2 linked regions of the Lytechinus pictus genome follow. The protein of the gene in region 1 purifies or fractionates together with the protein of each later gene. This does not show direct contact. Links are inferred from orthologs where the notes say so. Each region holds a gene or a part of one and is shown in the gene's direction. Other genes may lie near its edges.

What was found.
Region 2: the proteins of DNA-directed RNA polymerase III subunit RPC5-like (region 1) and DNA-directed RNA polymerase III subunit RPC7-like purify together in Homo sapiens (co-immunoprecipitation; 5 studies listed by BioGRID and IntAct, counting the BioPlex papers as one, with this or other methods). This does not show direct contact. The link is inferred for Lytechinus pictus from reciprocal best matches to the Homo sapiens genes POLR3E and POLR3GL.

Annotation. Positions count from the first base shown.
Region 1 is NC_087254.1:1,610,075-1,617,635, forward strand, and holds the start of DNA-directed RNA polymerase III subunit RPC5-like, read left to right. Parts: upstream 1-4,560; 5' UTR 4,561-4,607; intron 4,608-6,302; 5' UTR 6,303-6,323; coding exon 6,324-6,380; intron 6,381-7,561. UniProt on the Homo sapiens protein: DNA-dependent RNA polymerase catalyzes the transcription of DNA into RNA using the four ribonucleoside triphosphates as substrates.
Region 2 is NC_087249.1:25,193,805-25,200,903, reverse strand, and holds the start of DNA-directed RNA polymerase III subunit RPC7-like, read left to right. Parts: upstream 1-4,078; 5' UTR 4,079-4,201; coding exon 4,202-4,327; intron 4,328-7,099. UniProt on the Homo sapiens protein: DNA-dependent RNA polymerase catalyzes the transcription of DNA into RNA using the four ribonucleoside triphosphates as substrates. Specific peripheric component of RNA polymerase III which synthesizes small RNAs, such as 5S rRNA and tRNAs.

The DNA of each region.
Region 1 (7,561 bases):
GGAATAGATGGAGTAGAAATCAGATATTGAATTCATTTATATCCAAGTTCAACTCACAGTCACACCCACACAAACACATCCAAGATTCTAAGCATGAAAAAAATACCTTAAAAAAATCATACAATATTAAACAATAAGTAATAATTCTAAATAATAAAGTAAACAGTTATTCCTCAAAATACAAAAACGTAGCATTTGAAAAGAGGCCCTGAAATGAAAAAGTAGCCCCCGAAAGAAAGAAATGGAGCCCCGAAATTTTACAAAAAATTGAAAATGGAGCCCCCGAAAAAAAAAAATTATATTTTTTCCGTTTCCTCACACATATTACGACCGATTTCAAAACCTCGCATGCGTACGCGTACTCACGGCCAATTTCAAAACATCGCATGCGATCGGTCGCGCCGATCGCATGCGATGTTTTGAAATCGGCCGTGAGTAATATGTGTGAGGAAATTGATACTGGCCCAAAATCACCAATTTTGAGGATAACCGGAGGATGGACACGGAGTGAAATACGGGTGTAGAGTAAGATATTAAGTTATTTATCTTTCTTGTTATATTGTTTTTCTTTAATTTTTACAATAAACATGATTTCCATCCCACCTTTGTGACACCGAATATCCGATCGAGTTCACCGTCACGAAGTTCGGGTATTTGGAGCGTAGTGTAGCGGAAGTGGAGTGGAGCCTGCACGAACTTCGCCCGAGGTAAACCTAATAATGATATTCCAATATAGGCCCACTCCCTAATTATCGATCTCAAATGGATTTTTCTTAACACTTGACAATGACCCAAAAGACAGTATACAATTTAATTACATTGGTTAGATATATACAGATAGATGACAAGCTCTCTCGAAGGTTCATCGTATCCATGAAAAAGTTAGTATATAAGCGTTGGTAGGGGATATTGGGGTTTATTTGAGAATATTTTTGACAAAAATGGCTGTAAAATCCAAATAGATTTGAGAAACAATATGTCAGCTTAAAGCATATATCTAAGGGCTTCAAACGTACCCCATGAAACTTTAAAACTCTATGATGGTTACTGAAAAACAATCCACCTTGAACAAGACCATCGCAAGCTTTCCAACTTACCCCATATACGGGGTAAGTTGGAACGAGGTATGGGGTAAGTTGGAACACTGCATGGTCAATTAAAAATTATACTTAAACTACTTACAACTGTGATATTTTAGTTTTAGCCTATTTGCTTTATTTTTTCAAGTTCAAAATATTAAAGGTGTATTCTGATATGTTGAACTTTATATTTTCTATATTATACAGCCACTCATGCAAGCCGACTGTGTAGTAGAATTCTGCATATTTATGAGTGTTTGATTTTACATGCAATTAAGTGTATCATCAATTTAATGTACTTCTGCATCAAATTTACATGACAAAGATAAATTGTTTATATTTTTTAATTAATTAATTATGCAAATAAACATGAAATTTGCCCTTTAAAAAAAAAAAATTTTGGTGTATGTTTTTGCCTTTAACTTAATCTATTTAGCTAGTAGAATGCTAATTTTTGGTGAGAGCATCAATTTTTACATTTGTAACAAATACCTACGAAAAAATTGCAAAAAGTATAATTTCTTATGTATTTTTTGTTTTTTATACGCCCATCCTGACGGGACGTATCACGCTCGGTGTCTGTTCGTCCATCCGTTAACTTTTCCTTGTAAACACGATAACTTCAGTTTAACTTACCCTAGGCTCATATAATTTGGTATATGTATGATACCAGCATGGATCCCAGGAAGCCTTTTTACTTTTGGGGTCAAAAGGTCAAGGTTACAGTGACATATTTTCATCTTACCCTTCTGCAGTCCTTGTAAATGCGATAACTTCAGTTTAACTTAATCTTGGCTCCTATAATTTGGTGTGTATGATACTAGCATGGATCCCAGGAAGCCTATTGATTTTAAGGTCAAATGGTCAAAGGTCAAAATCACACTGACATGTTTTCATCTTGCCCTTCTGCAGTCCTTGTAAATGCGATAACTTTAGTTTAACTTAATCTAGGCTCCTATAATTTGGTGTGTATGATACTAGCATGGATCCCAGGAGCCTATTGATTTGGAGGTCAAAGGTCAAGATCACATTGACATGTTTTCATCTTACCCTTCTGAAGTCCTTGTAAACGCGATAACTTTAGTTTAACTTAATCTAGGCTCCTATAATTTGGTGTGTATGATACTAGCATAGATCCCAGGAAGCCTATTGATTTTGAGGTCAAGTGGTCAAAGGTCAAGGTCACATTGACATGTTTTCATCTTACCCTTCTGAAATCCTTGTAAACGCGATAACTTTAGTTTAACTTAATCTAGGCTCATATAATTTGGTGTGTATGATACTAGCATGGATCCCAGGAAGCCTATCGATTTTGAGGTCAGAGGTAAAGTTGCCACCTTCCACTTTTCTTGCTTGACCATTAACTCCATTTTTCTGCATTACAGGCGGGCGTATAATGTGCTTGCCTTAGCGACACTCTTGTCTTTGTATTTCTTTGTTTTTTCGAACCTTTTTTTATATTCTTTTTCCTTTTTTTCTGATGAACTTTGTTGGGGACCCTTTTGCATATTAATAAATCCATTTGAGCGAGCAAATTTTAAAATAATCATATATTCATGATTTTCGTTCGAAAAACACAATTTGCATTGACCTTGTACATTCGAGCAATTTTGGGTCCGACATGCACGTACAAAATGTTGCATGATTTTGAAATCACTCACCCGGGCATCGCAAATTTGGTCTCAAATGATGCACAAGACTTGAAAGTAAAAAGTCAGTGAGCGGTGCAGTTAGAAAATTTCGCGCGACGGTGAAGTGACAAATTTATCGAGTGGGGGGACTCAAATTGAGGGTTAAGGGTTAATAAGGGTTAATATTGCATAAGGGGCCCATAGTAGTCCTTAAATGCACACTCAAAACAAGCATGGTTTACAATACATATTCAAAAGAGTGTGAAATATTGTATACATTATTTTCTCAAATCCAGTGTTTTATTCATTTATGTTTGGGGTAACTTGGAACATGTTATAAATAGCCCCTTCAATTTTGTTTCAACTAGCCCCAGAGGCCCATGCAGGTTGCTACATAACTTTTTAAAAGTACTTGCCCAGTCGGGCAAGTAAATTTATGAATAGTTGGAATATACTTGCCCAAAAATCTATTTCACTCGCCTGAAAAAATCTTTGAAATTTTGTGTTTTTTTTCTCCAAAAGAAAGTTTTGAGGTTTTATAAACCATTGACCTTTTTTCTCTGTTTTGACATGAACTGATCTACTTTCTTATTGCATTTCTTTTTCCAAAGTGATTTTATCTTGCCTGCCATGACCAAAATCATATAGACCCTAATTTTGGTCATTCTACTGTAAGCATTTTGCTTGCCCAATTTGGGCAAGTAGTCTTGGTCTTTACTTAAAAAACTTGCCTGACTCTAACTTTTACTTGCCCCGGGCAATTGGGCAAGTGCTTATGTAGCACCCTGGGCCTATGTAGCATTTGTAAGCTTACAGCACAAAAAAGGAACTTCACCATGGCATATTAATAACCTTATTTTGTAGCTTGGTGCAAGTGTCTATTATACCCCCAAACTGGCCAACTTGATCTATAAACTTCTCTGAGATAATAAAACATTTCTGACAGAGAAAAAAAATACTCAGTTGAAAAAACGAAAATTCCTTTCTAACTTTACCAGGCTTATTGTACAGTGTTGTCTGTAATATGGTGGATGGCTGTTGATAATGGCAATAAATTGAGGGCAGTATTGCATAAATTAACCCCAATCTCCCCTATGTTATGTTCCTCTGCTTCCAACCCTTTTACTTAATATAATGTGACTATATACCCATAGGCAGATCCGAGCCCCCCCATTGGCGGAGCAAAAAGAAAAGGGGGAAAGAAAAAAAAGGAAAAACAGAAGAGAATAAAAAATAGGAAAACAAGAAGAGGAAGACGGGTGAATTAAATAAGAAGTGGCAATGACTTAAAAAAATGAAAGTCACTATTCACAGCCAATCTGGAGTTCTTTTAAGTCCTTGGAATTTAGAGTGTAAGAATTAAGAAAGGAAGGAAGAAAGAAAGAAAATATTGCATCTTTTATTAATCGCGAAATCAGGCAAGACTCGTCGCCAGAGCAAGTGTCATGGAACCTATACTTTAGACAAGACAGCTTCAAACTGATGGGACATTTTTATCTAACTCTGTATCTAACCTCCAACATTGGATGAGTGGTCTGTGACTGGAACTTACTTTCAACTAAAGCTATCAAATCTTAAAGAGTTTTGGGGAACATTGATGTACTGAATTACCGATTTTCAGATAAATTTAGTGAAAAACTAAACAATTGTAAATTGGTTATTGGAAAGAGCATTAGTTTCTATTGAAAAGAAAACAAAGAAATGGTAGTTGGAGAAAATGCTAGAAAAAATGAGAATTAACAACTACATGTAAGGTGCCCTATGGATACTGACATTGCTAAAGATGAAAAATACATGAAACACACTTTCATTTTATTCTGTATTATTTTTGTTTTTCTCATTTCAGGTCGATGTTTACCTCTCAAAGGAGTTGGCTGAAAATTTGTATTGTTTTCAGGTGAGAAATGGTTTTATGAAAAATCAAGCTGCTGATAAATATGTCTAAACGAAACAACATCATTCTTCCTAAATTCCCATATTTCATGTTGACATTTTTATTCATATTGATTTTATTTTTGTCTCACCTGCATAGCAGATCAAGACTCATTGCTTTTAGCATCAACAATTCTTTATTTCTTCATCAATCTTGATTATTATACTTGGCTCAAATAATCCTAGGGTAATTCCATGTGTGCATGTCCTTGAGGATGATGGGGTCAAGGGTCATCTAGGGGTCAAAAGGTCAATTTGTCCAACTTGCTCTTCATTTCTTCATCAATTATGTTCACACTTGGTACACATACAATTGTTGTGTAATACCACATGTGTGTCCTTAAGGATGACTGGTCAAGGGTCATCGAGGGGTCAAAAGATCATAGTGCATATTTTATTGATTGTGAAATCAAGTGAGACTTGTGATTCATGAGCCACCTTGTATGATCAGCATTGAATACATGTATGTTCCTTCTTATTAAAAAAAAAAGAATTGTAAACCCAATTAAGGGATTTGCATTACATGTATTAATGGGAGAGCTTGTGATTTATTCAAATCCTTTCATTGTGTGCAACAAAGCAGAGCGAGACGACTATGCTAAATGACACATGCACGACGGACCCCTCCCCCCCCCCCCCCCCCATAAACCTTGAGGGTACTTCAACCCCCAGCATCAGGATCGTCAATCACTGAAGGTTAAGTTTTTGAAATGTCATCATTCATAAATAAAAAAAAGTATATGGGCCTAGTTCATGAAACTTGGATATATTGGTTATCAAGTATTACTCAACATCCTGCCAGAGTTTGATGTCACATGACCAAGGTCAAAGGTCATATAGGGTCAATGAACTTGGACCATGTTGGGGGAATCAATATCAAAATCTTAACCGAAGGTTATGCGCCTAGTTCATGATACTTGGACATAAGAGTAATCAAGTATTACTGAACACCATGCCAAAGATTCAGGTCAAATGACCAAGGTCAAAGTTCATTTAGGATCAGTGAACTTTGGCCATGTTGGGGGTATTTGTTGATATTCATCATAACTTTGAAAGTTTATGGATCTGTGCTCAAATATCTTCGATTAAAATCGATTTTAAAGCATTGTTAGTACAGTGGCAGATACAAATTTTGACCAGTGCGAGCATTTTGACATCGATACAAATTGCGTATTGATTTTCTATGTAAACGGAATTGTCACAGTTTCATGTACATGTACACAAAGTCTATGGGGAAACGGAATTTCTGTTTTCAGACATGCTGAAATGGAATATAAGATTTTCTGAAACGATAACTCACTGTCCCTTTTTTATTATCATACGAATGTTTCTTTTGTGAATAATTATTCAATAGCTGTTTTCAAAGTCAGCACTGCTGCTATATCAAATCGCGTAATGCAGGCGAGACTGCCAGAGGCACTCCACTTGTTTTCATTAGACAGATGGGGGAGAGTGCAAGATGGCATCTGAACATGCCTACTGAGGTTTAAATAAATTGAGTTAACATAACATCCCCTTATACTTTGTTCAATTTCTTTTATACATTCACCCTCTCATTTCTCTTTTGCTGTTTTCTTACAATGATTTTGTTATATATTGCATTTTCCTATTTCTATGACTGTAGCATTTTACGTTGGTCTTTTTTTATCTTTGCATTCAGTATCCAGTTCGTCCCAATCACATGTCCTATGATGACTTTGAATACACATCAGCTCGGATCAAACCTAAACAGAAAAAGGTACACATCAATTAACAAAGGTTTGAATGGCATATTACAGCATGGATCCATTTAATAGCATCTTTTCTTATTTTAACAAAGTCAAAGCCACTGTGAAAGTCTGTTCGTGGGATTCCTCCTAAAACATGTCACATCTCTCTTTTGTGAAGCACTGTGATATAAATCTAATTTTGTTTCAAAGGTTTTCCTTCTAGTGTAGTTTACTGTGCTTTGTTTTTGAGCAGATACCCATCCCCATTAACATCAAGATTTTTAGCCAGCCAAAAGCTTGTCCATGACATCGAATTTAGGCTGGCCAAAACTTTTCTCCTATATTTTCTCCTTGCCTGCAAGTTGATTATTAACATTGTTGAATTACATATCCACTTTATGCACAGTATGTCTGACAAAAATCAGTTACTATTCATGAGAACAATAGAAAATATATCTGTAGTATCTAGATCCAGTATTGGGACATTTTACTTCATTGGGCCATTCTCCTTTGTAGCATGTATAAACCCCATCTCTTGCCTTTTTGCCCTTAAAGGTCAAGTCCACCCCAGAAAAATGTTGATTTGAATAAATAGAGAAAAATCAAACTAGCATGATGCTGAAAATTTCATCAAAATCCATTGTAAAATAAGAAAGTTATGAGATTTTAAAGTTTCGCTTATTTTTCACAAAACAGAGATATGCACAACTCAGTGACATGCAAATGAGACGGCTGATGATGTCCCTCACTCACTATTTCTTTTTGTTTTCTATTGTTTGAATTGTACAATATTTCATTTTTTACAGATTCGACAATAAGGACTAACTTGAATGAACCATAGAGTATTAAACAATGCTAATTCCACATGTTCATGGAGGAATTCATCATTGTTTCGCTTGACAATGAGAAGAAAATTAGAATACTTCATATTTCATATAATAAAATACAAAAGAAATTGTGAGTGGATGACGTCATCAGTCTCCTCATTTGCTTACCGACCAGGATGAGCATATAACTGTTTTGTGAAATTAAGCGAAACTTTAAAATTGTCATAACTTTCTTATTTACATCCGATTTTGATGAAATTTTCAGTGTTATGCTTGTTTGATTTTCTTATTTTATTCAAATCAACTTTTAGTTGGGGTGGACTTGTCCTTTAATGTATTTTTTTAATGGAAAGTAGTTTGTTCTGGCATGTGCACCTAAAGTC
Region 2 (7,099 bases), on another chromosome or scaffold:
TGTCGAACTGTCTCAGTCCTGTTCACTGTTCACAGGACAAAAATACGCCGGCATTTTTAAAAAAGGAAATATCTACGTCTCTAAAAGAATCCGCTACGTAAGAAGCACATGATCCTAATTCAATTTTCATTGTTAATGTTTTTATTATGCGTCGTTACTTCTCCCTTTTTTTCGTATGACGGTCTGCGGGTTTGAGAATGAACTCGGCCCGGCCCGCAATCCGCGATGGGGTGCATACCGGCAGGTTAACCCGTACCGCAACGGGTGCGGGTTACAACACTACTAGTCTGTCTAACATTAGATGTCAAACAGGCGCAGGCGACATCCTTCAAAACACGAGACCTCATTCGAATGAGTGCACAGGGGACACCACAACTATCGGCAACACGTGCAATATATTACGCACACAAAGAAATGGATGATATCACGATTCCTTGATACATGTGTTCGGATAGCACACGATCGAAATCACCGGCTGTTTGAGGGATGCGATGTTAACTTCGCAGTAACTGGATAGAATGGAAAGAGTGAATAATTTCCTATAGTAAACTCCCATATGGTTTATTATTTAAAAAGAACTACTCAAATTAGTTCATATCCGGCTATCTTACCACACAAAAATAGATGTACAGTGATCAGGACTCGTCAATAACTCACGCAAAAAGTAAATTTTACAGAGCTTCAGTCTTCACGCAATGCCACTGGGTATGGTGTCTTTGCTATCACATGATTTTTTAAATCTTTTTTTTAAATCTCATAGTCGATTACCAACGCCGAATACGGTAAATCATTGGCAAAACTCCCGGGGGCAGTCAAAATACAGGGGCCGCGGAAGCGGGGGGCTGGGGGGCTTCAGCCCCCCCCCCCCCTCTTTTTTCAAAAACCGTGTACAAAAACGTAAAAATGACGACCATATGATTGTGCTAGTGCCCTTGGCTTTACTTACTTACTTACTTATATGGATACTTATGGATGCTTCTGAACGCAGTCTAAGACTCTATATTCAGTTCCAAATTCTGTCTCCTCTTTAGGTTGGCCGGCATGTCCTGGTGGGTCAGCGTCAAACTTGTACTTCACAGGTTCACATTTCCAATACTTATCCAGTCCATTCTCGAAGCTGTGGACACTGGGTGCATTAGTAATTCATTACTTAGGCTATTCCAAGGTTTCCTCATTCTTATGTAAAAAGAATTCTTACGTTTCTCAGTTACTGACCTCGGAATGTACAATTTCTTATCATGACCTCTGGTAGGCCCATGCACCTGGCCCAAATCTGGCACTACCTCTTGGTCATACCTGTGAAATAACTTGTATGTTTCGATCATATCTCCTCGCGCACGGCGATATGCTAATGTAGGAAGTTTTAGTTGAATCAATCTTTGTTCATATGGAAGGTTCTTTACTTCAGGTACCAACTTAGTGGCCCTTCTTTGTACATTTTCTATTGCTTGAATATGTTTCTTTAAGTATGGACTCCATACTGCATGAGCATACTCCAAGTGAGGTCTAATCAATGCTTTGTATAGGAGTAGGAGGTTCTCCTTGTGAAGATAATAAACAAATGTTCTCCTAATTAGATTCATAAGCCTATTGGCTTTATTTATCTTTGACTGAAAGTGCTGGTCAAAACTAAGCTTTGTGTCGACAATCACTCCTAAATCTTTACTAGTTTCAACTTGTGATAGATTATGTGAAGCATTATCATGTGTCATAGTATATTCATTGAATTCATCATTCTTTGTACCAATAGTAAGTACACAACATTTATCCGGGTGGAACTTTAATAGCCACTTGTCTGACCATGACACAAGACGATCTAAGTCCGCTTGTAATAACTCAGCATCTCTGTCATTATTAACATGCATGCTTGTATAACTTGGTGTCATCTGCAAATAAACTAACAGTACTTGACGAAATCTGATCCGGTAAATCATTAATGTACATTACAAAAAGCAGGGGTCCGAGGACACTCCCTTGCTGTATTCCGCTGGTTACATCAGCCCAGTCAGAGAACACACCATTCACACAAACTCGGTGCTGTCGACCAACAAGAAAAGACCTCTGACCCACTTACATATGAGCTATAGATATGCCAAATCCCTCAATTTTGGCTAAAAGTCTCTGGTGTACGTGGGACCTTATCAAAGGCTTTCATGAAATCTAGGTAGATGACATCAACTGCACCACCAACCTCCAACATATTCGTCCAATCATTTAACACATTGAGTAATTGTAACATTGTTGATCGTCCTGATACAAATCCAAATTGTTTTGAACTGAGAAGGTAAGGAATTTATCCTCATTACCATGTCCCTCGGAGAGGACCTTAAGCTGTCGGTCCCCTGGTTGCTTGCTCACAGGCATTCGTGCTTTCTTAGTAGTCAGGTAAAAAACCTCGATATAATGGGACTTTTTGCATGGTCATCAGCCCCCCCCCCCCCACTTTGAAAACCTTTCCGCGGCCCCTGAAATGTACTGCTGTACACATGGGTAACTAAATTATTTCCAAACACCTCCTAAATGAGTTTTTTTCTGTGTGCAAATAATCACCATAACAAGTTTTTCGCGGGCAAAGTTATTTTGGCCCCTATATACATGTATTGTTGTCGCAAAAAAGCTTGGGGGCAAAAATACGTACCCTAAACACGTATGGCTATATAGTTTATAAAAAAAAACATACCCTGTACGTTTGACCCTGTGATTGACCAGTGACCATATAAACCACCGTTTTTTTTTTTTTTTTTTATCGCGGTGTTTTTTTAATGAGTGCATGTACACGCGGCCCGCGTCCAAAACTAAAAAACACCCCTTTAATCATCATCATCATCTGTACGGGAGGGTAGGTATATAGCCCTGTAGATCTCCCGGTCGTAAACGCTTGATGCATAATTAAAAGTCTAACAATTAAGTACAGTGCGGGCGTGGATGTAAGACAATTTCAAATGTAATGCATGACCAAAAAGAATCTAATCCGTGTTTAAATGAGTTAATACTGGAGGACATAGTGTTGCAGGCAAACTATTCCAAGATTATTGGATCACTCTTTTACTGAAAAAGCTGCTGCGCGTCAACCGACAGTGAGTTGTCACATGAACAGTTTGAAGGGATTGTTCCCTTAAATAAGTTTTTTGTCATGTACTGCAATATATTTGTGGTGGTGAAAGTGGTGAAAGCTATTATAAAAAGGAAGGGAGTAGGATAGAGGGCGGGATCATGATGTATATATATAGAGGGGTCTGGTATGGATGAGGTACTACACTAAGCGCAGGAGGTAAAAACCCTAGTAAAAACAAAACAAAAGCACAGAAATAATAAAAGCCTGACACAGAACGCTATAGGTTACCAGTATACGAGAGAAATAAGAGAGCTAGGGTGTTGTCGGGTGTAGGGTGTATATAGGCTCCATTTTTTTTTACCCGGAGGGTGCCACTCCACTGGCTTGACGGTATACACACTGGAACTATTCACAGACCCTCACAATCGATACACACAGCAGAGAAAAGTACCGAAATAATTTTATAAGGATATACAGAAGGAGTTAATTGGTTTGGAATAAAGGCCGGGGCAGCTAGTCTATAAAATAAAAGTCAAATTATAAGCTTGTCTACGTATAGCAATGGGATTTTTTTTTATTAATAAGGGGCAATTATACCTGTCTATAAAATAAAAGTAAAATTAAGCTTGTCTCTACGTATAGCAATTGGATTTTTATCTATTCATCGATTCCATTCATTTACATGTTTGTTTGCTTATTATCCTCATCATCATTAAATTGTTATCATCTTTATTTATTTATCTATTCATTTATTATAATTATTATCATTATTATTATTATCATCATCGTCATCATCGCCATCATCATCATCATCATCACCATCATCATCATCATCAGGATCACGGATGGGGTGGGAGTAGTTCTAGATTTATACCAAACATGTCCATATAGCTCATTTTCACACATACGTGTAATATTAAGCAATATCTCAACGTATCATTCTGATTTTATTTATTATTTCATAAAATTGCCAAAATATATATTTCCATCCCCTTATAGCTCTAGTCACATTTATTTAAATTCAATTCAAGTTAATACCAATTTTATTTTTAAAGACACCATACTTTCAAGTGGGTTAGAGGAAGAACTTATTTATTGTTTTAAGTTTAAGTTCCTTTTAAAACAACAAACCAGTGCTACTTCATTATGGCTGGAAGAGGTCGAGGTCGCGGGCGTGGTCGAGGGTCGTCGTTTGCTGCTGATGCCCTTGGATTAGGAAGAGGAGGAGAATCATTGCCACCTCCCACTGCTCAGCCGCCACCGCTTTTTCCTGTGAGTCCCACATCATTGCAAATTATGTTGGTCAAAAATGCGCACGGTGTTGCCGTTCCGATTCCGACTAAAATATGTCTCAAGATTTCAACATCATCAGGATGGGCTGATTCAAATCACGTTGATTTAAATCATTATTGAAATCGTGATTTTAATCTCTATGATTTTTTCTAAATCATTGATATAAATCACTTCCAGTTCCACTGGAAACATGTAGGCCTACGGTACACTACAATTACAATTACAAATGATTGACAATGACATTTTTTTATTTGTGGTAGTTTTATTTTTTTCCTCAAAATAGAAAGATTTTATCAATTCTATATCATCAAAACATAAATAAATGCTTCATATCTACTAAAAAAATTGAAATCATGTCAGTAAAATCAGGTTGATCTTGCAAGGTAGCCTATAAATTATGTTATGGTTTAACAATCATGACAATAACAATTAACATGTCTCAGACTTAGTCTTACTCTTAGTCTTAGGCCCCTAAAACGCACTCACACAAGCATGCGAGGTTAGTATACTAACCTCGCACAACGCATGTCATTTCATAATGAATTTTGACGTTTTCGTTCATCACACGAATGTGAGAATATGAAACACGCCTAAATCTTCACAATATACTATTACTAAATTTAGTCATCTTAATCTTATATTATTTATAATGTAATCTAATTTTAAAAATCAGCACGAACTTATCTATAGAAATGGATTTTAAACGCTTACCTCCAAATCTCAGCCAGTTACTCCATCCGATCCTTAATACTGCGGTGGAAATTATGCAAACAACGATCGATATGCGAATTTTTCCTATCGAACAGTCTAGATTCAAGTCGCCGGCGCATAATAGGAAATTGTACCAAAAATCAACAGGTTGCATGTCACGTATAATCGCTGATGGTGCTACATCATAAAATAACGCTGAACAGCGAAAAAAATGCGGAGCGCCTAGAACGCAGCCAGCAGTACAGCTGATCTGACGTAAACGACGTAAACAAGCAAGTTTATTAAATAATATTGCGCGCGCTCTCTGTGCGTATAGAGAGAACCAGCGAATCGGGGCCATGCCTGCTTCGACATCAAGAAAGATCATCGATATAAAGTACCAGAAAGACAGAGAGGAATTGAAATTGGCTTCATATCGTTTTGTAAGTTTCATATCCAAAGCTTATCTGATCTTAAATCCATATATATTGCTAATTTAAAATATATAGCCCGAAAGGCATTGCAAGTGCCGTGCAAGTGGTTATCCTGTGGACGGCGGCGGTAATGTACCCATAGGTGCCTAAAACGGCCCTTCTCCACAGATGATTTTTTTTTTTAATCATTGATTTAAATCACTTCCTTTGAAACATATGATGTACAAATGATTGACAATATTTTTATTTGCGGCAGTTTTTATATGTTTTTTTACTCAAAATAGAAAGATTTTATCAACTTTATATCATCAAAGCATGAATAAATCCTTCAATAAGCGGTTAACATGCACTTAGCCCCCTACTTAGTCTTAGACCAAAAGCTTCGGTCTCTCTATTATGTTGGTTGTTCAGCTGAACTCCGTTGGCTTCACTCACCAAATACAGAGACCGAAGTTCTAGCGCGATCTCTACAGGGGACTCAATGGCCATATGTTTATGTATTAAGTTTTGATAAAACGGAAGTGCAGTTGCGCGACAGCCGAGGTAAATCACTGTTTTCATTCCTTTTAACTTGATTTTTCCCCCGTTTTTTGGCAATTAGTGCCAAGAGGGAATTTTAATTTGCATTTCGGTCGCGTTAATTTTCAAAAGTTTGATTCATTAAAGACAAAAATTGAAGAGCCCCGACGGGGGGATTTTGCATTGTAAGTCCCCTAATGGTGGCTGCACGATAGCGAGCCGTCTGTGTACGAGGAGAAATTAAAAAAATAAATAAATGTTAAAAAACTCCTCGAAACAGATGGCTGCCAGCTGTCTACCCCCTACTCCACTTTCACTAATTTTTTTTAATCATTGATTTAAATCACTTCCATTGAAATTTGTACAATGTACAACTCCAGGATTTTTGTACTAAAAGAAATAATTCAAATAAACTTGCAACTTTTTCCCAATAAGTCACAGCTTCGCAAATCAATGCTTTAAACAATAAAAAAGCTTCAACCATGGCTCAAATACCAAAGGAGGTTTAAACAAACAAAAAGAAATGTAGTTTTCTACGAAAAAAACTGAAATTTTCAAAAATTTGAAAATATCCATCGTCAATCGTTGAATCATGTGCCGGAGCTTGCAGTGGAAGTAATGAGACAATCATTTAGCATGGTGACATCATAGAACTGATTTGGAAGAGTTAAAATATTTCGCCACCGCGATGAGAATCGGCCGTAATGTCAGTGTATAGCAGGTGGTTGGTTTCAAAAGAAGGTTGCAAATGTGAAATTGTCGTATTTGTTGTTCGCTGATATTTATGCGCATAGAAACGCAGTCATCGCAAGACAAAAACTAGGTAAAACTTATAAATACTTATGCAGATACGATTCTTATAAAATTAGATGGTCGATTAGGGGTAGTTCCAAATCACGCTACAAATTCACTGCCTATTCAAAAACATCACAATCGCAGTCAAAAGTATGACCACCGCTGCATCCATGCAATTGCAGTGTTTATGTTGGCTGTAGTCATGGTGGTAGACGAAAGAACTTTACTTCCAAACAACCCCTAAACGAGTTTTTCTCTGTGTGCAAAATAACCCTTTAAACAAGTTTATTTACACGTTTTGGCCCCTAAACAA